Linked DNA regions of Arabidopsis thaliana. The protein of the gene in region 1 interacts with the protein of each later gene in a pairwise test. Each region holds a gene or a part of one and is shown in the gene's direction. Other genes may lie near its edges. The genes, in order: AT3G13670, AT3G55050, AT4G12980 and ABCG20.

What was found.
Region 2: the proteins of AT3G13670 (region 1) and AT3G55050 interact in a protein complementation assay, tested with the Arabidopsis thaliana proteins (one large-scale study listed by BioGRID).
Region 3: the proteins of AT3G13670 (region 1) and AT4G12980 interact in a protein complementation assay, tested with the Arabidopsis thaliana proteins (one large-scale study listed by BioGRID).
Region 4: the proteins of AT3G13670 (region 1) and ABCG20 interact in a protein complementation assay, tested with the Arabidopsis thaliana proteins (one large-scale study listed by BioGRID).

The regions. Positions count from the first base shown.
Region 1 is NC_003074.8:4,467,257-4,474,284, forward strand, and holds AT3G13670 (Protein kinase family protein), read left to right. Parts: upstream 1-1,896; 5' UTR 1,897-2,177; coding exon 2,178-2,561; intron 2,562-2,666; coding exon 2,667-2,795; intron 2,796-2,904; coding exon 2,905-2,978; intron 2,979-3,095; coding exon 3,096-3,165; intron 3,166-3,254; coding exon 3,255-3,310; intron 3,311-3,534; coding exon 3,535-3,606; intron 3,607-3,756; coding exon 3,757-3,851; intron 3,852-3,923; coding exon 3,924-3,990; intron 3,991-4,078; coding exon 4,079-4,208; intron 4,209-4,295; coding exon 4,296-4,514; intron 4,515-4,610; coding exon 4,611-4,753; intron 4,754-4,908; coding exon 4,909-5,083; intron 5,084-5,170; coding exon 5,171-5,261; intron 5,262-5,305; exon of another isoform or gene 5,306-5,370; coding exon 5,371-5,528; exon of another isoform or gene 5,529-5,631; coding exon 5,632-5,820; exon of another isoform or gene 5,821-5,918; coding exon 5,919-5,978; 3' UTR 5,979-6,284; downstream 6,285-7,028. Other genes in the region: AT3G13662 (Disease resistance-responsive (dirigent-like protein) family protein), read left to right, coding at 1-349, 1,209-1,214; AT3G13672 (TRAF-like superfamily protein), read right to left, coding at 6,285-6,917, 6,989-7,028.
Region 2 is NC_003074.8:20,399,747-20,404,755, reverse strand, and holds AT3G55050 (Protein phosphatase 2C family protein), read left to right. Parts: upstream 1-2,160; 5' UTR 2,161-2,425; intron 2,426-2,667; 5' UTR 2,668-2,833; coding exon 2,834-3,766; intron 3,767-3,865; coding exon 3,866-4,087; 3' UTR 4,088-4,326; downstream 4,327-5,009. Other genes in the region: AT3G55060 (CAP-gly domain linker), read left to right, coding at 1-839, 952-1,158, 1,265-1,567; GSTL2 (glutathione transferase lambda 2), read left to right, coding at 4,451-4,635, 4,716-4,775, 4,874-4,934. UniProt on the Arabidopsis thaliana protein: May dephosphorylate and repress plasma membrane H(+)-ATPases (PM H(+)-ATPases, e.g. AHA1 and AHA2), thus influencing negatively plant growth and fitness.
Region 3 is NC_003075.7:7,588,406-7,593,118, reverse strand, and holds AT4G12980 (Auxin-responsive family protein), read left to right. Parts: upstream 1-1,859; 5' UTR 1,860-2,044; coding exon 2,045-2,701; intron 2,702-2,777; coding exon 2,778-3,032; intron 3,033-3,176; coding exon 3,177-3,449; 3' UTR 3,450-3,872; downstream 3,873-4,713. UniProt on the Arabidopsis thaliana protein: May act as a catecholamine-responsive trans-membrane electron transporter.
Region 4 is NC_003074.8:19,836,577-19,842,165, reverse strand, and holds ABCG20 (ABC-2 type transporter family protein), read left to right. Parts: upstream 1-2,182; 5' UTR 2,183-2,644; coding exon 2,645-4,864; 3' UTR 4,865-5,018; downstream 5,019-5,589. Other genes in the region: UXS1 (UDP-glucuronic acid decarboxylase 1), read right to left, coding at 1-531.

The DNA.
Region 1 (7,028 bases):
AAACCCTAGCTCCGTGATGATCCAACAGCCGGTCTTGAACTCTTCCTTATCCGGATCGATCACCATGATGGACGATCCACTAACATTCGATGTGCCAAGGAATGCGACTGTGGTGGGCCAAGCCCAAGGGATGTACGTAGCAGCGGCCCAAGGAGAGATAGGCTTCTTGATGGTGATGAACTTTGCTTTCACTACGGGGAAGTACAATGGGAGTACGATAACGATTCTTGGGCGGAACGTGGTGATGTCGAAGGTTAGGGAAATGCCGGTGGTCGGAGGTAGTGGAATCTTTCGATTTGCTAGAGGTTATGTCGAGGCTCGCACCAAGTCGTTTGATCTCAAGGCCGGTGTTGCCAATCTACATATACATTTTTGCAGCCATTTTAACAAATAAATCTTAGAGTTGAACTTATTTACAACCCAATGCCATTAGCATTAAATTTTTTTTTCAAAATAATTAATTTTACATTAAATTCTTAATTTAAATTGTCAATCACATTATCAATCAAATTTAATCCAAACAAACTGCACATCAATCCTTTAAAATTAGCATAAAAGTATTTTGTTAACAATATTTTAAAACAAAGTTTTTTGTTTAAATAAATATTGTTCTTACTAAACGTTTTTTGTTTAAATAAACAAATCATGTATTTGAACTTATTTACAATGTCATGCTACTGACATTAATTATTCAGGCATGAAAATATTTAATTAAAGATTTAAATCTTCTAAATTCTTGCTTTTAGAATTATTATATCATTACCTAAAAGGCAAAAAATATTAATTTTTTAATTATTATTATTTATATATTTAAAATTCATAAAACACTATTAATATTTAAATTTATAAAAAGTTTAATATATCAAAAAAATTAACATCATTATATAATATATAGAGTTTAAAAAATCTCAAAAAAAAAATCGTCATATTTTGTGATTCAAAATTTTAAGAATGAACATATATTAACTAATTGGCGAAAAATGTATGGATTCAACGTCCCGCAACGAATAAAATATTTTGACAATGATTCATAAATATATTATAAATAAGATCAACATTAATAAAATAAATAAATTTTTTTTGTGGACGGGTTTGGCGGGACGAGTTTGACAGGATGTTACTTAGTAACAATTGTAAACTATAAAATAATTTACAAATTTTTACATATATTAATTTTAAAAAATGAATTGTCTCCGCGGTGAATCTAGTGTTGAATATAATTGTTATATTCTGCATTACTGAAATAATTAAGTTTGGAATATTGTTCATTTGATTTCATTACTTATTTGTTTTTATGTCTCGTTTTGTTATGAGAGTGTTATTGTCTTTTCCCAAGTTAAATAATGTATTTTATCTTGTAATGGTTTGATTTTATTCATCTAAAAAATAAATAAATAAGTAGTTGTTTATATATACATTAAACATACATTTTTTGGTCAAATTAAGTGGCACAAAGGCTCTACTCCGCGTTAATTTGGAAAATCATCAACTGATTAGCGAATAAATTATTTGAAATTTTGATAGAAAATAAATGTTCAAATAAATATAATGATTAGTTAGCCCAATCACGAGCTAATCAAACCTTAAAAAAAAAACACCAAATCAAACCTATTTATTGTCTAAAACCAATTTTGATATTACACGGAGAAATTAAATAATACATTTAGCTACTTTTTTGTTTGAAATAGAAAAGACATTCAAAATAGTAAACATATAAAACCATTGTAAGAAAAGAAATCAAATTTTTTATTTCTTAACAAAAACGTGAAACGTTTGTTTCCAAATTAGTCGCAAGTCACGGACCGTGTGACGCAAAAAAAGTCCATTCACATCATTATTACATAATTTTTGTCATAAGGAAAATTAATTTGATTTTTCCAAATTTTTTTGGTTCTTCCTCTTCAGAATATCTGACGTGGCATAAATATCGCCTTTTTCACATCGCCTGTCTTCTTTTCTCTCTCCATTTTGGGAACTTTCATCCATAAACTTCTATTTTTCTCATCGCAAACTTGAACCGTCGTAACCCTAAATCGCCATCTTCATCATCGGCAAATCGAATCTCCGATTATATATCAAATAGCTTACCAAATCCGACATGACCCAGGCCCTCGTTTTCGGAGGACTATAATGATCGGACTCTTCGTGTCCCGTCTCGATTGCATGGGGTTTGAGCTATGCCGGAGCTTCGCCGTGGAGTCCGCCGTGGCCGTGTTACTGATGCTGTAGCTCCCAATCAGCTTCCGCAAACACCTACAGAAAAGAAACCGAAGAAGAGTACCGTTAAAGCTCCAAAACCGGTTGCCGGCGGAGTTACAGGAGTTGCAGAGAGGCCGAGGACTAGATTAGCGGCGAGGAAATTAAAGGAGGAAGATAAAGAGATACCTCAGGAGATTCCGGTTGTTGTGCCGTCTAAGGATAGCGATATCGATAAAAACAAGGGTAAAGAGGTAGTCGTTGAAGAAGAGAAGAAAGATATGGCTATTGGTAATGATAGTGGTGGCTCTAACAAGGCGGCTGCTCAGGAAGAAGAAGGAAATACTGCTCCTTTCCCTGAGAGGGTATAATTGATTTGCATAGTTTTTGTGTTGTTTGGGGTTATTGAACTTTTCATTGTAGGCTTGCTTATCATCTTTCTATGGTAATGACTAACGATTCCGTATCAGGTTCAAGTTGGAGGATCACCACTATATAAAGTTGAGAGAAAGCTGGGGAAGGGTGGTTTTGGACAAGTATTTGTCGGACGTCGTATTAGTGGCGGTAATGATCGTAGTGCAGGAGCTAGCATCTTGGAGGTAATATAACTCAGTCTGCGTTTACTGCTGTGGAGGATTGTCACCATAAATATCATTCTATTAGCTTAGTTATGCTTACAGTGTCTCACATCTTCACTTTCTTATATAGGTTGCTCTAAAGTTTGAGCATAGGAGCAGCAAGGGTTGCAACTATGGTCCTCCACATGAGTGGCAGGTTTACAAGTGGGTGTTTCGATTCTCCTGTCTTTCTTTCAATGTTTCTTAAATTCATTTACCTGGATTGTAGGTGCTTCCTTGACTTGAAATGTGAAATTGACATTTTACTTTTATTGTGAACAGCACCTTGGGTGGTAGCCATGGAGTCCCTAGAGTACATTTCAAAGGCAGGCAAGGAGACTATTATGTCATGGTACTGGATTCCCCCTTTCTCCTATTTCTGTTTTTTTCTCCTGTCTGTATCATTGAAGTTAGATCCTCTCTTCTTTGTTTTGGCCTCAGGTTATGGACATGCTTGGGCCTAGCTTATGGGATTTATGGAATACTTCAGGGCAAGCGTGAGTCTCCATTACACATCCTTGGGGAGCTCTTGTCTCTTTTTCAATTAGCGTTGTTTCCATACATGAGTATCCTAAGTTAATTTGGATTCTTTTGGAATTGTGACTTGAAATGTGGTGTTACTCCCTGTTTTTAAAAAAATACATAAGTCCATACTGAGTAACATTTTGCTTTTAAAAAATCGACTTCCCTAACAATTCTTCTCCCCCTTTTTGCTTTGCAGAATGTCCTCGGAAATGGTAGCTTGCATTGCGGTTGAATCACTTTCCATCCTTGAAAAGATGCATGCAAAAGGGTTTGTAATTGAACTTTATTTTTGTTTTTGTATTTAATTAGGTTGTCCGAGGTTTCTTCTGATATCCTGTTTGGAGTCTCGGCACCTCTAAGTTCTTATGTTTTCTCTCTATTAACTAGCCTAACAGGTCATGTTTTACTTCGGTTTCAGTTATGTGCATGGGGATGTTAAGCCAGAAAATTTCTTACTCGGCCAGCCTTCAACGTCTCAAGAGAAAAAACTGTTTCTTGTTGATTTGGGACTAGGTTGATTTCATTCTCTTTGTTATTCTTGCTAGGTTCTTCTTTACCTTTCTCATTTTTCAACCAACTTTTCAGCTACAAAGTGGAGAGAAGGTGGTAGCGGACAACATGTTGAATATGATCAACGTCCTGATATGTTTAGGTAATATATTTTCTACTGTTACCTAATATAATTTGTTTTATACTCGCTCTTACCTTTTGTTGAATCTCTCTCTTCTTAATTTTTATAGAGGGACAGTTAGATACGCAAGTGCACATGCTCATTTAGGGAGAACTGCTAGCAGAAGGGATGATCTGGAATCATTAGCATATACACTGATCTTTCTTCACCGAGGTAGATTGCCATGGCAAGGATATCAGGTACTGCAGACCTATCATTTTGTTTTGTAGAATCATGTTGTTGCATGATTCTTTCTCTGCTAATCCTGTCTCTTACTCAATTTTCAGGGAGATAACAAGTCATTCCTTGTTTGCAAAAAGAAGATGGCAACATCGCCGGATATGCTTTGTTGTTTTTGTCCCCCTCCTTTCAAACAATTTCTTGAGATCGTGGTAAATATGAAATTTGATGAAGAACCCAACTATGGAAAGTTAGTATCTCTGTTTCAAGACCTCTTGGGCGAAAATCCGGCAATTAGGCCTATAAACACAGAGGGTGCTCAAAAGGTGACATTTTCATGCTGTATATCTTTCCCTTTCGTTCCTATTTGGATATCTAGGAGTTGTTGTTTAACATCTTGTAATTGTTTTCTTTTGTGCTAGATCATATTCCAAGTTGGCCAGAAGCGAGGTAGGTTGAGCATTGGGGAGGAAGAAGAAGATGCCCCTAGGAAAAAGGTCCGTCTAGGAGTCCCTGCAACGCAATGGATATCGATTTACAATGCCAGGCAACCAATGAAGCAGAGGTAAAAAAATTCATGGTTAATTATTTATACAGTCAGTTAACTGCTGGGACTGCGTTTGTGTCTCATTTTTTCTCTTGGTTATATTATAATCTTGGATTTTTGGCCTTAATGTGTCTAAAACTATTTTTGGACTCACAATTTATGTGTTTAACCAGGTATCATTATAATGTGGCTGATATAAGACTGGCACAGCATATTGAGAGAGGTATTGCAGATGGTTTGTTGATAAGCTGTGTATCATCATGTTCGAATCTCTGGGCATTGATAATGGATGCTGGAACTGGCTTCACGCACCAAGTCTATGAACTCTCTCCTGTATTCTTGCACAAGGTTGTCTGATGTTTCTCTGTTAGTTATTTTTATATCTGTGTTCTGTCAAGATGATCTTACCTGAGAGTGAATTCTGTTTTGAATCAGGAATGGATTATGGAGCAGTGGGAGAAGAACTACTACATTAGTTCTATTGCTGGTGCAAGCAATGGAAGCTCCTTAGTTGTCATGTCAAAAGGTATCTACACTTTTCATGAATACTTTTGAACACTTTCGTCATTATGGTATTTTACTAGTCTCTGAATTTGTGGCTTATTCTATGTTTGGTTTTCAAATGAATTATGAAGGTACGCAGTATACACAGCAGTCTTACAAAGTAAGCGATTCATTCCCGTTCAAGTGGATAAACAAGAAATGGAGAGAAGGCTTCCATGTAACCTCAATGGCAACAGCTGGAAATCGATGGGGTGTTGTTATGTCCCGCAATTCTGGCTACAGTGAACAGGTTAGACTTCACCGATATAGATGAATTTCTTCCGTTTCCTTCAGTTTTGGATCTGTCGCGTTGATTTCTAATTCTCCTGTTTTCGCTTATATCTCCTCTACAGGTTGTGGAACTTGATTTTCTGTATCCAAGTGAAGGCATCCACAGGCGTTGGGATGGTGGATTCAGAATCACATCAACAGCAGCCACAACCGATCAAGCTGCTCTCATCCTAAGCATCCCACGTCGTAGACTTGTTGATGAGACACAAGAGACGTTACGTACCTCTCAATTCCCCAGCACACACGTCAAGGTGAGTAGAGCAGCTATAAAAGATTACTAATCAATATCTTGAACTCTTTTTCTCCCTTCCCATGAACAATACCGGAGATGCAATTTTCTGTTGTGCAGGAAAAATGGGGAAAGAATCTCTACCTTGCATCGTTAAGCTATGGCCGAACTGTATCTTGAGACTTATTAGTAAAAACTGTTGAAGGACGAGAGAAATATGTTTCTAAGTCTCGGCTCCTATTCCTTATCCAACCCTATGGCCTCTCAGGCTCTGTTGTGCTTCTTCTTTTTTTTCAGTTGAATTGTGAAGCAAAAATGTGGTGATTGTGTTGTTTATTCCCCCCTTGTGAAGGGGATTGAGCCATAATCACCAGTTTACCTACACATTTCCCTCGAAATTGCTATATTTAATTTTTAAATCAAGAAAAGATATTTTTGTCACCAAATATTCTATAGTTGTCCAATTCTGTAACCTAATTATCGAATTCATATCGAAACAGGCTGTTCTCTCCATACACGACCTGAAACCTTCAACTTCAGCTCCTTGTCGGTGGTGTTGTTGTCGGTAGAGAAGAACAAAGCCAATTTGCGAGTGATGATTAAGCCATCTTGACTATCACGAACCGTCTTGTGACTGTCACGAATGCTCCTCGGCACGCCTTGCCATGTCAGCTTTCTGCCATTCCCTCCGACCTGCAAACTATAGCTGAAGCTCATTGCCTCTTCTTCATCTCCCATAAACTGCATGAAGGCCATGTACATTGGTGTTTTCCTCAGGTGAAACGCTTCGAAGTACAAGCAGAATTTTCGACCACAACAATCGAGAAGCTGCATCGTTTCAAGTGGGTTAAAACTTAAAAATTCACAAAGTTGCAGAAACAGAGCAAGATAATCAGTTATATAACTTACTGTTAACATCCAAGTAGCATGATGAAGATGTTTAGGATCATGATGAACATATCTGTGACTGAAACTACGCCCATCACTCATTTCAACATTGTGATCATTCCTTAGATGCAGTAGTAGCCTTTGAATATCTCCTGTGACATCACACTTGGCTCCTGAGTGTGGACAATTGTACGGTTTCTTCTTAGGGTTTTCGATGTGGTCGTTGGGACACTGCAATAGGATCTGTATATTACTTGTTGTGTTCTTATTGTAGTAGTATCAATATGATATGATATACATACCTCGTAGATTGCAGAGGATATCTGGTTTGTATGAACCGGA
Region 2 (5,009 bases), about 16 Mb from region 1:
CTGCTTTCCACGAAAATGAGACAGAGAACAAAGACATGATAACACATTTGGAGAGAAGAGTTGCTGAGCTGACCACAACAGCAGATAAATTGCATGAAGAGAACAATTATGTTAAACAAACTCTCTCCAAGTTACAAGAGAGTTACGCAGGTGCTACAGAAGATCTTGATTTCTTGAGAAGAAACTTTGAAGAGAAGGATCAAGAATGCAGGGAGTTGCACAAATCTGTTACAAAGTTTTTCAGAACTTGCAAAGAACAAGGGAAGACAATTGAGGGACTTCGAGATGGTGTTTCTGAGGAGGTTAAGAAGCAACCGTCAGAGAAATTAGACCAGTTGGTCAAGAAATTGCAGGTCGAGCAGGTAAGGTTGACAGGGATCGAGCTTTCACTTAGAAGGGAAGTAGAATCAATGAAGCTTGAAACTGACTCTCTTCGCCATGAAAATATCTGTCTACTGAATCGATTGAAAGGGAATGGTCAAGAAATAGACATTACAACCCTTAAGCTAGAGAATGAGTTGAAGATGCGTGTCTGCTACTTGCAAGAACAGGGACTGTCAATGTTAAATGAGAGCAGCCAGCTGTGTTACAAGTTACTGAAGTTCATCAAAGGGAAATTAACTCAGCTTCCTGAAACCTATCAGGATAAGAATTCAGTGAAGGACGGATTAAGTGAGCAGTTTATGATTGAGTCTGAAATGAAAGTCCATGGGATAAGGCGCGGAACTGAAAACCTGAAGAGGAGTTTGCAAACGGTGACCAGTGTGGTAGCTTCGAATTCAGAATCGTCTTCCTCAAATACTGGTAGGCCTAGGGAACAAAGAAACCAATCAGTTGAAGTAAGTCCACGGATATGTCCATTTCTTAATATCTCTATTGTATTTTCTTGTATGTCCTGTTTTGCTTTACACTAATATGTGGCTAATGTATACCTGGCCCAATCTCATGTAGGAAAACTTGCGAGCAGAACTGAGTGCTGAGACCCTAATCACAAGTTTAGTGCGGGAGAAACTGTATTCCAAGGAAAAGGAAATCGAACAGCTCCAAGCAGAACTAGCAGCAGCAGTACGAGGTAATGAGATTCTGAGATGTGAGGTCCAAAGCAGTTTAGACAACCTATCAGTTACAACCCACGAACTGAAAGACCTCAAGCATCAGGTATTGCAAAACAAGAATAACACATATCCCATGTCTGTTTTTGTATATAAAGAAACTATTCCCATTTATAAAATGTTAACTTTACGCTAATCTTTTTTGACATCAGATGTTGAAGAAGGAGGAAAGCATAAGACGGCTCGAAAGCAATCTCCAGGAAGCGGCGAAAGAAATGGCGAGGCTGAACGCACTATTGTCAAAAGTGTCTAATGAAAGAGGCCAGATATGGAGTGAGTATAAACAATACGGTGAGAAAAACATGCTTTTGAACTCAGAGAACGAGACATTGAAAGGAATGGTAGAGAAATTGGAGGAGAAGGTATTAGAGAAAGAAGGAGAGATCACAATACTACAAGACACAATCGGAAGCAAGCATCTGAATCTCCTCTCAAGTCCTGATTTCTTGGTATAAGGGTTTTTCTTTATCATTGTTTCTTAGACGATGGGTCATTCTTTGGGGCTTATAGATATGATTGTTTCTTCTTTTATTTTTACTTTTCTTCTTTTGGATTGCTTATCTCAAAGCTGGATTCTCTCTAGTTTCAGATTTGTACTTAAAAATGGGCTTATAAACTTAGTGGTGAAGTTTATGGTAAAGAAAGTTTGTCATTTGACTCAATTCTATTCAATAAATCTTCATAAGCCATTAGTTCAAAAAGAGACTAGCAATAATTTTATATATATACTATCTTACATAAATATATATATATATATATATATAGACTTGGTATTTTTACTTTTTTCACTAAATATATGATCACTTTTCACTATAGTTAGTCATTCTTTTTCTCAATAAGTTTGACAAAGCTAGTCTTATATTATTTTTTTTCCTACACTTGTAGTAACAAATTGGTACCATATTTTAGAGAATATTTCATAAAAATAGTAGAGGTATTAAATGTTGCAAAAAAAAAGTCAAACCGTTAAAGTCAAAAAGAAATGGAGAGACGACAGGTAGAGAAAATAAAATACTATAAATTTACCAGAAAAAAAAAAACACCATAAACACGATGACCGCGACTATCGGTACTTTCTCTCTCTAAAAAAAACAAATCCAACGTCTCCGTCTCTTCTTCAAACGCGTCTTCTTCTCTATTTTAACCCTCTTTCATCGTCTCTTTCGCTTTTTATAGGTTTTGATTTGTATTAGTAATCATCTTGCTAATCTTTCCCCCTCATTGATCTGAAATCGAATGATGGATTATTATTCTACTCCAAGCTTTTGAAATAAGGAACCCTATTTCTTTCATCTAATCCTCGATTTCATCAGGTATTTCAAATCAATTACCCAATCAGGTTGATGGGTCAAAGTTGAAACCTTTAGATTCATATGTGGATGGAGTTATGTAAAGTTTTCTTCTTAATCAAAATTTGTTTCTCCCAGATGCTTGTTATCAGATTGATGGGTTAAAAGTTAAAAAATTTAGTTTCCTATGTTGAAAATTTGGAGACTTTATCCTTTTTTCGATTCTAGATTACTAAATGTTTTGTTTTTGTTTGTGTGGAATGCAGATTAATGTTGTTTACATTTGTGAATGCGTGTTTGAATTCTGAATCCTGGGTTTGTGGAGTTGGAATTGAGTCTGACAAGAAGATTGGGTTTCTTCATAATATAGTTATAAGCACTGATTTGATGAACGATTTGATAGCTGGTTCTTTTGGTTGAGACATGTGAATTATGGTATCTACAACATTTAGGAGAATTGTATCGCCTTGTTGGAGACCTTTTGGTATTGGAGAAGATTCTAGTCCTGGTAGTGATGATACGAATGGCCGTCTCGATGGTCTCTTGTGGTACAAAGATTCTGGGAACCACATCACTGGAGAGTTTTCTATGGCAGTCGTTCAAGCTAACAACCTTCTTGAAGATCATAGCCAGTTAGAATCTGGTCCTATTAGTTTGCATGAGTCTGGACCTGAGGCAACTTTTGTTGGTGTTTATGATGGTCATGGAGGTCCCGAGGCTGCTCGGTTTGTAAACGATAGGCTCTTTTATAACATCAAGAGGTACACATCAGAACAGCGAGGGATGTCGCCTGATGTTATCACCAGAGGGTTTGTAGCAACAGAGGAGGAGTTTCTCGGTTTAGTGCAGGAGCAATGGAAGACCAAGCCACAGATTGCTTCTGTGGGAGCTTGTTGTTTGGTTGGTATTGTTTGTAATGGATTGTTGTATGTTGCAAACGCAGGAGATTCTCGGGTTGTGTTAGGGAAAGTCGCAAATCCGTTTAAAGAGTTGAAAGCTGTTCAGTTATCAACAGAGCATAATGCAAGTATCGAATCTGTGAGAGAGGAGTTACGTTTGTTGCATCCTGATGATCCGAATATCGTGGTCTTGAAACACAAAGTTTGGCGTGTTAAAGGGATTATACAGGTCTCAAGATCCATTGGTGACGCATACCTTAAAAGAGCGGAGTTTAATCAAGAACCGCTACTACCTAAGTTTAGGGTTCCAGAACGTTTTGAAAAGCCGATCATGAGAGCGGAACCGACTATAACAGTTCATAAGATTCATCCGGAAGATCAGTTTCTTATATTTGCCTCGGATGGTTTATGGGAGCATCTAAGCAACCAGGAAGCTGTTGATATTGTCAATTCTTGTCCACGCAATGTAAGACATATCACAACACTCTTCTTGTCTTGTTTTTTTGTCTGGTTTGAATTGGTTTTGTTGTTTGTTGAATTTGTGGTGTCTTGTTGATTCTTTCAGGGTGTGGCTCGGAAGTTAGTGAAAGCTGCATTACAAGAAGCAGCAAAGAAGAGAGAGATGAGGTATTCTGATTTGGAGAAGATAGAACGTGGCATTCGGCGACACTTTCACGACGATATTACCGTTATTGTTGTCTTCCTCCACGCTACAAACTTCGCTACTCGAACTCCGATCTCTGTCAAAGGAGGTGGTCTCCTCTCAGCCCATAATCCCGTTTTATAGATCATTTTTTTTCTCCTTATTTGAACCAGAATTTGATTTTGTTTGCTTCTTTTGTTACAAAATTGTGTGAAAATCTTACTTCTTTAATTATTTTCTGATCGAAAAGTGTAAATTTCCTCTCTTTTTTCCTCAAATCTCAATTGTACTTTCTGTTTACGAAATAGTGAAACAGAATCGAACCAACATTCATCAATCTGAATTTGAACCGAATTTTACTCTTATACCGAATTTAAACCGAAATAGAATCTTATTCTATCCGAATTGAACCAAACCGGAAGTTGTGGCAGTCAAACAAAAAGGTTCAGTGGAAACCATTTTCCCGGAAAATCCTTTCAGGAGCTGAGAAAGTGAAAGCTGTGAGGTATGAGTGTGGGACTGAAAGTTAGCGCGTTCTTACATCCAACGCTTGCGTTATCCTCGAGAGATGTCTCTCTCTCTTCCTCATCATCTTCTCTCTATCTTGATCGGAAAATTCTCCGACCAGGCTCCGGGAGACGGTGGTGTAAATCCCGAAGAACCGAACCAATATTGGCTGTTGTAGAGTCAAGGTAATCAATCAAATATGTTTTTCCTTCTATGAAGAGTGATTACAAGTTTAGTTGTGTATTGAAAGGTTACTATTTTGCAGTCGAGTACCGGAGCTTGATTCTTCTTCAGAACCAGTTCAAGTATTCGATGGATCAACAAGGTTTCGGTTTTCTAAAAATGCTTTTTTTATTTGTTTCATGTCTGGATAGATATTAGAGAAGTTGTTGATGAACAACTTTTGGTTTGTGTGATTTTAAGGTTGTACATATCTTACACTTGCCCATTTGCTCAGCGTGCGTGGATTGCTCGCAACTACAAGGTTTCAAATTTGAATCATTCTTCTTATCGATGTTTCTATATATCTATATCAATTTCTTTATGTTGCTTGTTTGTG
Region 3 (4,713 bases), on another chromosome or scaffold:
TTTTGGAACATTTCTCTACTTTTAACTTTGATGAGAGTCGATTTTTAAATTGCATATATAGACATTTAACTTTCTTGAATAATCCAAAAAAAATAAGCAAAATGCAAAAGCTAAGCAAAACATAAGCATGGAATAGATTTAGTGAAATCTTGTTAAAAATGATGTTTTGAACACACTAATTGTTATTTCAGATATTAACAATAACTTTTGTATGTTGTTTTGGGAATATAGTATGATATCGGATATCTGAGCAGCACAACACAAAATTATGGAAGAAAAGCCATAATAAACGTGTGGCCACCCAAAGCAGAAGGACTCGACGAATTCAGTTTAGGCCAAACTTGGCTGGTATGAAACTTAGATTAAAAAGTAAAGTAATGATGCTTCAATGCATGTGGCTGTCAACAACAAAAGAACTGCAAACACAATAAAATTCGAGTGGGTTTTCCAGAATGCTGATACTTCAGCCCACATGAATCGAAGAAACTGTCTGATATTAGTGAACAGACATGGAACAGTGCAACTAATATATCTCCACGAAGATACAATCAATCCAGATATGTGAGCCAATAAAAAGCCAACCCACGGAGCTATCTGACCACAGAACTGTAGACGTAGTAGGCGCCTAAGACAATGATCATCAGACAGTGGTATCTGGTTCATATGAATAACATCGACGTCAGATGGCAGGTTAGTTTTTAATCAATCAAAACAAATTCTATCTAGAAAATATAACTATTAATTATTTGTTATGTGATTTGTTTATGAATTTATGTTTGGTGCGTTTTAAGTTGAAAATGATCAGATGCTTATTCTCAAAAATTACATAACAAATAATTAATCGATATATTTTGTAAATAATATTTGTTTTGAACATTTTTCAAGTTAAAACGCACTAAACTTCATACGTCTTAATAATTAGGTTGTAAATACATAAATAACGTAAAAAAGTTTAGATGCTTATTCTCAATGAAACCAAAACATAATTGTATACACCAATATATTTTGAACATTATTATAAAAATCAATCCAAAATTGAATTAAATTTATCTATTTAAGGTTTAGTTTTACTCATATGTGTATATAAACCTTTTTTTTTTTTTGAATATAAACCAATTTACTCTAGAGCACACTACCTTAAAAAGTATTAATACCTGAGGGCTGAGGTTTAGAGAATTGAAAGACAAACTAACTATCTTAGAGATTCTAGAGCTCCTGCAGTCCTTACTTGGATATTCTAATTTAAAGAGATATGTTTAAAGCTTTCGACAAAACCTTTTGGGCCTTCCCCTTTTTGCTTATATTAATATATATAGCGGTTCGGTGAAACATCAAAGGAGATAGAAGAGGATAATTTTTAGGGATAGGTGCATGACTAGATGTTGAATTAAGGGAGATAAATTCTGATGTGAACTGAAAAAACTTAGCAACCGTTGATAATGTTAGTTTCTAATAAGTATTTAGTCTTGGGCGATAAATTCTTATTCTAGTCAATACGACAAAACTCTATATACTCACATTTTGGATAATTTTGCAAATAAATGATTTAACCCTATCTAAAAACATGCATCTACACTATGAAGATAAGAATGAAAAAAATAACCAAAATTAAATTTATGCATTATCTTCTTTTCTAAATTACTTGAAAAATGTGTTACTTTAAGAATGTTGTGAATTTAGATTTTATTGTAATAAAAAGAATATATAAATATCTTTATGATTTTCAAGGCCAGAAATACTCTGAGATCCTTGGTCTTAGGTCAAACATAACTGTCAACTACTTAATCTGATATGTTCTGTTCCATGACCTTCCAGAATCAGACAATCAAAAGAAGTTCGTTATGATGTGTTTTTCTGAATTAAAAGAAAGAAAAGAAAAAACAACACATTGAACAATAAAAATGAAACAAATAAATAAAAATCTTTTATTAGCTGTGTGTATCGTAGAATTAGATACAGGCTATAATTATCACACAGTTTCACCTATTTATTTCCGACCATTACTTAACGGTTACTACAATTCTTTGCATCATCATCATTCATCATGGATTCTTCTTACCTTAGAATCTCTCTTTCTTTTCTCTTCTGGGCTTTACTACTCTCACCGGCTGTGTCACAGTCATCTTCTTGTTCGTCACAGACATTTTCCGGCGTCAAATCTTACCCTCACTGTCTCGACCTCCCTGATCTTAAAGCCATTCTCCATTACTCTTATGACGCATCTAACACAACTCTCGCCGTTGTTTTCTCTGCTCCACCGTCAAAACCTGGTGGTTGGATCGCTTGGGCTATTAACCCTAAATCCACCGGCATGGCTGGATCTCAAGCCCTCGTTGCCTCTAAGGACCCTAGCACCGGCGTTGCTTCCGTGACGACCCTTAACATCGTCTCTTACAGCTCTCTGGTTCCCTCGAAACTGTCCTTTGACGTGTGGGATGTTAAGGCGGAGGAGGCGGCTAATGACGGTGGAGCTTTACGAATCTTTGCGAAAGTGAAGGTTCCGGCGGATTTAGCGGCGAGTGGGAAGGTTAACCAGGTTTGGCAGGTTGGTCCGGGAGTGTCTAATGGGAGGATACAGGCTCATGATTTCAGCGGTCCCAATCTTAACTCAGTGGGATCACTCGATTTAACCGGGACCACCCCCGGAGTCCCTGTCTCCGGAGGTGGTGGTGCCGGTAATTCTAGAATCCACAAGAGAAATGTAAGTATGATTTTTATATTTGTTATTGTTTATGAAAGTCATGAAGAATCAACCATTTGAATGTGTAAATTGGCAGATCCATGGAATATTGAACGCAGTGAGTTGGGGACTTCTATTTCCCATTGGAGCAATGATAGCTAGGTATATGAGAATCTTTGAATCAGCAGATCCTGCTTGGTTTTACCTCCACGTGTCATGCCAATTCTCTGCTTATGTCATCGGTGTTGCCGGATGGGCCACCGGACTCAAGCTTGGTTCAGAATCTAAAGGTATTCAGTACAACACTCACCGGAACATCGGCATCTGTCTCTTCTCTATAGCCACTCTTCAGGTAAATTAAACCGTTGCTAATACTCATTAGGACCAAAGAGTGTTATTTGTTATATTAGTGGATATTGCAAGTTGGCCATTTAAAAAGATATGTTTTGTTCTGTTATTGAAACGATGCTTTGTGTCTTTTTGCGCGTGTTTAAAGATGTTTGCGATGCTGTTGCGGCCAAGGAAGGACCACAAGTTTAGATTCGTTTGGAATATTTACCACCACGGAGTTGGATACTCTATCCTCATCCTTGGAATCATCAATGTTTTCAAAGGTCTTAGCATCTTGAATCCAAAGCATACTTACAAGACGGCTTATATCGCTGTGATTGGGACCTTAGGAGGCATCACGTTACTCTTGGAAGTTGTTACTTGGGTCATTGTCCTCAAGAGAAAATCTGCCAAGTCTACAAAGCCTCTCAAGGCCTAATGGTGTTGGTAATTCAAAGGATTTGTATTGTTTTATTTTCTTTTTTTTTTGAAGTTAGAAATTGCATTGTCTTTCTCCACAAATTATGATTCATCTCTTGACGTTGCTTGTTTTGAGGATGATGATTATGACTTGTGTGTTTTATGTATAGTAGGAGAAACACATATATGTCTTAGTGTTTGTTCTTTGTAGCTCTGCCTTTTATTTCGTGTGTTTTTGTGGTTCAGAATACTTGTAGGGAATTATAAACTAATTTTTCAATCTTTTTTTGTCGTAAATTTGTAATTACCCAAGTACGAACTACGAAGTGACCAACAAACAGTAAAATTAAAATATGTCCGTGTGGTGTAAGATGTAAAACACTTGTAAGATTCTTATTTTGGGCATTCTGAATGATGATAGCGTTTAAAACTTTAATGTGTCCAGCTACTACCGAATCAACTATAATTACGTTGCCTTTTTTACGTTTATTCTTTTCTATATGAAATTCAAATTCTAGTGGAAATCTCTTTCCAAACTTTTTCAACGTTGTTTCCACTTTTCTTTCCTAAAAGGTTGTTTACATTGTCTATCCGGGATTTGACTCATATATTATACACCGAAATTTGGGGCCACGGTCAAACAAATTGAGCAGTTTTCGGGGTGTATTAAATCAAGGTTTTATGAAAGTGTTGGTTTTCTGTTAACATCATCAGTTATTCAATTAGTGATTTTAAAATTCCTTTCCAAATTCTATGTTATTGAAACTGAAATTTATATAAAGTCATTCCAAATTATTTATGAAGGTACATCCAAACACATATATGTTTGAATGGTTAGTTGTGGCTAAGAGTTTTCTTGGAATTCAGTCGTCTAACTCTAAATCCTCATATAGAAAAGATTTGCTTCCTAAACAATAATGGTGAAAAAATCACTGACTATGTATTGGTTAGCTACCCGGACGTGTCTTACTACAAAAATGTAACCTCTGTTGAAAGTGGGGTCCCTCCGGTAAGAAATGCACGAAGAAGGTGATAATCGTATATGATGTGAATCAAGCTAACAAGCAGGAGGAGAAGCATGTTGTTGGCATCCAAAGTGGAGCTGTAAATTCTTTTCAGGAATTAGTCATAAAACTACTACATGATTTGGAACAATGACTCTTTTTCACGCTAACCAAACCGAAGAAACATATTCAATCAATGACACAATATATCAAGCCAATTGATGTAAGAAAAGAGCATACTCTAGTTACAGATGATCATTGGACATAAAAGTCGTTCTA
Region 4 (5,589 bases), about 15 Mb from region 1:
AACAACATCGTGTCGAATTAGCTCAAACCTAGGATTCGAGAATAGATGAACCAAATTCTCCTTCCTACCAGTGAAGAAGTTATCAATCACGATCACTTCATCTCCCCTACCGATAAGCTTATCAACAAGATGACTACCGACGAAACCAGCTCCACCGGTGACAACAATCCTCAGTCTCTTCCGTCCGATACCGACGGGAACACGACCGGTTCTACCTCCGCCGCCTCCGGAATTAAAAGTCGACCTGGAAGGCGGGGAATCGGTGACGGCGTAGGAAACAGATCTGGTGATTAACGAGGTGGACTCAGCGGCGCCTAAACGAGAGAGAGAAGGCTGGAGGATGAAGAAAGTGGATCCGATCAAGATCCCGACGAGGATAAAGAGGAGTCGTTGTTCACGAAAGAGATAGTGAAGCGATCTGGGAAGAGATCTGGGATGCTTTAAAGTTTTGGGAGAGTAAGGACTGGATTGGCTCATGGGAATGGTTTCTTCATCACGCTTCGAGCTCATTTGCTTGTGAAGCTGCTTCATCGTTCTCCGATTAAAGCTCGTCGCCGGTGAAAATGAGATCTCAGAATTGCCGGGAAGAAGAAGAGCTTTGGATCTGGATAGATTCAAACGTAAGAGCGATGGTGAATGCAAAAGTAGTTAGTTACACGGCGATTACTTGATGCAATCCTTCGCTCTCTTTTTTATTTTTATTTTGTTTTAGTTATAGAGCAAATATATATGTTTCGCTTCTAAAATCTATATGTGATTATCAGATAATCTAATTAAGTAATTTCACTAATTGTTTAATAATATATGCAATTTTTTATATATATATTCTTGAGGGGATCATTAATGTGATTTGCGTTTGATTTGTATATTATTCAATGAACATATACAAAACTTTAGGCAAATGTGGAAACAAACAAAAAAAACTCCTCGAGGCTTACAAAATATGGGCTTTTAACAATTGGATGCCCAAGTTTGGCCCCTTAATAGCCCACAAAATGTTATGCCTAGAGATATGCTCTTATGCTATTTTTTTTTTTTTTGAATGAAAACTCTCTCATGCTGTTACTCAACAGACGAGAGTAAAAATTTCTCGTACGATTTAACAAATATTAGCATTGAACGAAATCTCAAACCTGAGGGATTCAATTCCTTGATCTAGTCCTACCTGATAAATCTCAAAGTGTTAACAAAATTATGTTGGGAAACTTAGCAAAATATCCTCTACCAAACACAAAATTTCAAAACAATCTTTACATAAAGAAAGTCTTACTAAACTTAACCAGAATAATATAAACTCATTCTCTGTGTGAAAGTGTACATTCCATAAGAAATGTTATGTATTTCATTGGATAAATCATTAGTTCAACTTGATAGAGACAAGCTGATGATACTAAGTATATAGTTTTCTATTATTTCTTGACAACTCTTGTAAAAATGGGTTATCAAAAGTAAAATAATCAAGAAAACAGATATAACAGCTACACCAAACTTCCATATGCCTAAATCTAACTCATCACGTTATATAAAGTTTCCATTACATATTCCTAATGACAATTTTTGTTGTGTTTTCGTGTGTAGCTCTACAACATCAAAGCCGAACATCTGCACGTTTTTCTGCCATAATTTTCACATTCATTTCCTTTTTGTTTCACCAACTACAAAAGTACAAATCAATGATCCTTATAATTTTTTTTTTTTTTTTTTGAAATGAAATAGGCTTCACTTACGCTTTTTTATATGACGAAAATGGTGTGCATGATTAAACAAACAATTGAAAGATAACACGCCATTAGCTTCATTATGCATAATGGCATGCCTTTGTACAATCTTAGTATAGTACCATGCCAAATCCTAATTATGAGAATATCTTATGTGTTTGATATTAACTAATTGCAAAAGTTAATTAGTAACCGCTAAATAAATGTTCAAAATGTTGGATGATTTGATTTTGATACAACAAACAGTATATTCGTAGCGTGCTTTAGTTACTGTACGAAGATATTCACTGATTCAAAATAGTTGGAAATCCAATTAACCCCTAGTCAATTATTGTCTCACGCACCAAAAAACAAGTCTTAGAGCTTGTAAGTGATTATAGAAAACTCGCGGGTCGTGACTATAATAAACAAAAGGAGATTAAGAAATTCGTGACATACATACATGTGCAAGGAGAAATTCTATTCCTGACATGTTACATAAGCTATACTTATTGCAATTCCATAAACTCCGGATACATTATATACAGATGAAATAAACACGTAATTCCATGGAGTAAACTTTTCCACTTTGTAAACAAAAACCACCTAAAATAGGATTTTTTTACAGAGTACCTTAAGCCCCAAGAAAAAATACATACAATAACGGAAAAATGTGGATGGATTTGCCCAACTCCTCACCTACTCGTAACTTACAATTTATATACATACGAAAATATAAACAAAAGCTATGTACATGTAAATATGAAAAGCTACAAAACCCAGAACAACTCAAAGTTAGATACTTAGAGATCACCAAACTAATTGACAAGTTTCTCCCTCATTCTCCCATCCAAATATCCTATAAAGTCGATCAAAATTGTTCTGTGGGTAAGACCTTTAGACACATTACCTGAGGCCAAAACATTAACCAGACAATAATTCACGTGATGTCTGGTTTGTTCGGTATATTATCTCCGGCCAAACGGGTCAATGGCGATGGCCTCCCTCTGTTTTACAATATCCACAAGTCAGTGGAGCTTCAGAGATGTCACAGAGACACTGCGCGGGTGTCTGTCACACTTGCAGAACTTCTCATGAGTGTGGAAGATGAGGGGGATGACCAGAGTCGGGCTATGGATATTGCGGTTGCGTCCAATTTCTGGTCCTCGGTTCCGTCTTCTCGTGTGCCTTCTTCTTCTCCGTTTGTTCTTTCCTTCAAAGACTTGACTTACAGCGTGAAGATCAAGAAGAAGTTTAAGCCCTTTCCTTGTTGTGGGAATTCACCTTTTGATGGTAATGATATGGAGATGAATACTAAGGTGCTCCTGAATGGTATTTCTGGTGAAGCCCGGGAAGGAGAGATGATGGCTGTTCTTGGAGCGAGCGGGTCAGGGAAATCAACGCTTATCGATGCATTAGCCAATCGGATTTCAAAAGAGAGCCTACGCGGTGATATTACTTTAAATGGGGAAGTTCTTGAATCTAGCCTGCATAAAGTCATATCAGCTTATGTGATGCAAGATGATCTTCTCTTCCCGATGCTCACCGTGGAAGAGACGTTGATGTTTTCTGCTGAGTTCAGGCTTCCAAGCTCGCTTTCTAAGAAGAAAAAGAAGGCACGGGTTCAAGCTCTGATTGATCAGCTCGGCCTGAGGAACGCAGCAAAAACCGTGATCGGTGATGAGGGACACAGAGGTGTGTCTGGAGGAGAAAGGAGAAGGGTCTCAATTGGAACCGATATAATCCATGACCCGATTATTCTCTTTCTCGATGAGCCAACTTCTGGTCTTGACTCTACCAGTGCATACATGGTTGTCAAAGTGCTTCAGAGAATCGCACAAAGCGGCAGCATAGTTATCATGTCCATCCATCAGCCGAGTTACAGAATCTTGGGATTACTCGATAAGTTAATCTTCCTATCTAGGGGAAACACCGTTTACAGCGGCTCCCCGACACACCTCCCTCAGTTCTTCTCAGAATTCGGTCACCCAATTCCTGAAAACGAGAACAAGCCGGAGTTTGCACTCGATCTTATCCGTGAGCTGGAAGATTCGCCAGAAGGAACGAAATCCTTAGTCGAGTTCCACAAGCAATGGCGAGCAAAGCAAACCTCAAGCCAGAGCAGAAGAAACACCAATGTATCTCTCAAAGATGCAATCAGCGCAAGTATCTCGAGAGGTAAGCTTGTCTCCGGAGCAACAAACCTAAGATCATCATTTCAAACCTTTGCAAACCCATTCTGGACTGAAATGCTCGTAATTGGTAAACGATCTATACTAAACTCAAGAAGACAACCAGAGCTATTCGGAATCCGCCTAGGAGCTGTACTAGTCACCGGAATGATCCTAGCCACAATATTCTGGAAACTAGACAATTCACCAAGAGGTATACAAGAACGCTTAGGGTTCTTCGCATTCGCAATGTCCACAACATTCTACACATGTGCAGAAGCAATACCAGTCTTTCTACAGGAACGTTACATATTCATGAGAGAAACAGCTTACAACGCTTACCGGCGATCATCATACGTCCTCGCTCACACAATAATCTCCATCCCTGCTCTCATAATCTTATCCGCCGCATTCGCCGCCTCAACATTCTCGGCCGTAGGACTCGCCGGAGGCTCCGAGGGATTCCTCTTCTTCTTCTTCACAATCCTCACCGCGTTTTGGGCCGGAAGTTCCTTCGTGACGTTCTTATCCGGCGTAGTCTCACACGTGATGATCGGATTCACGGTGGTTGTAGCAATCCTCGCTTATTTCCTCCTCTTCTCCGGATTCTTCATCTCTAGAGATCGAATCCCACTCTACTGGATCTGGTTCCATTACCTCTCCCTAGTGAAATACCCTTACGAAGGTGTTCTACAGAACGAATTCGAAGATCCGACGAAATGCTTCGTCAGAGGGATCCAGATGTTCGACAATTCGCCGCTGGGACAAGTTCCAACCGCCGTGAAAATCAGCCTCCTGAAGAGCATGAGCGGCGTTTTGGGGATCAACGTGACGGCGGAGACTTGCGTAACGACGGGAATCGATATACTGAAACAGCAAGGAATCACGGAGATAAGCAAATGGAATTGCTTGTGGATCACTGTAGCTTGGGGATTCTTCTTTAGGGTTCTCTTCTACTTCACACTCTTGATCGGAAGCAAGAACAAGCGTCGCTGATTTACAAAACAGAAAATTATTAGAGTAACTTGACCAATGATTATGATGTACTTAATACTTATGATTAATACGAAATTGCATATGTTTGCTAAATCTTTAATGGGCTTTAGAGTTGATATAAGGCCCAATAAAAGTACTAAATTGGAAAGTGTGCAATTTTCTATTTTCTATATCGGTAATATCGACGTTTATCTCGCCGTGAAATCTAAACCGTTGATTGAAACAAATCGCTACCGTTGAATCTCGTCGGTTTCCAAGTTATAAGATAGGGGTTGAAGACTAATCGCAGTATCATCCGCGGTTCACTTCCTTCGTTTCGAAATTATTAGGGTTACTGCGTATTTGCACTCTCCTTCTTCGTCTCTCCAGGTACGAGGAAGAATCTTTGTAATTGGATCTGTTTAGGGTTACGATTTTATTGTTCTTCGCTCTCTAGATTAGGGATTTCAATTGGTTTCTCGTTTCCTCGCCGTAGATTTCCTTTATAGGTTTCCTTCTGTCTAATCTGATTAGAGATTTATATTCTCCCCTCACGAAATTTTCTTCTTTTCGCCTCTGAATGTGTTATTCAGTTTGGTTTCTTTGTTTTTGGATTTGTGTTCTGCTGAAAAATCATAGATATTCACATGGGTTCTATGTTTAGGTCTGAGGTAGTGTTTTAACTCTCTGGTCTTTTTCTTGTTTATATAATTTGAAGAGGATACTGTTATTCTTTTTCTTGTGAT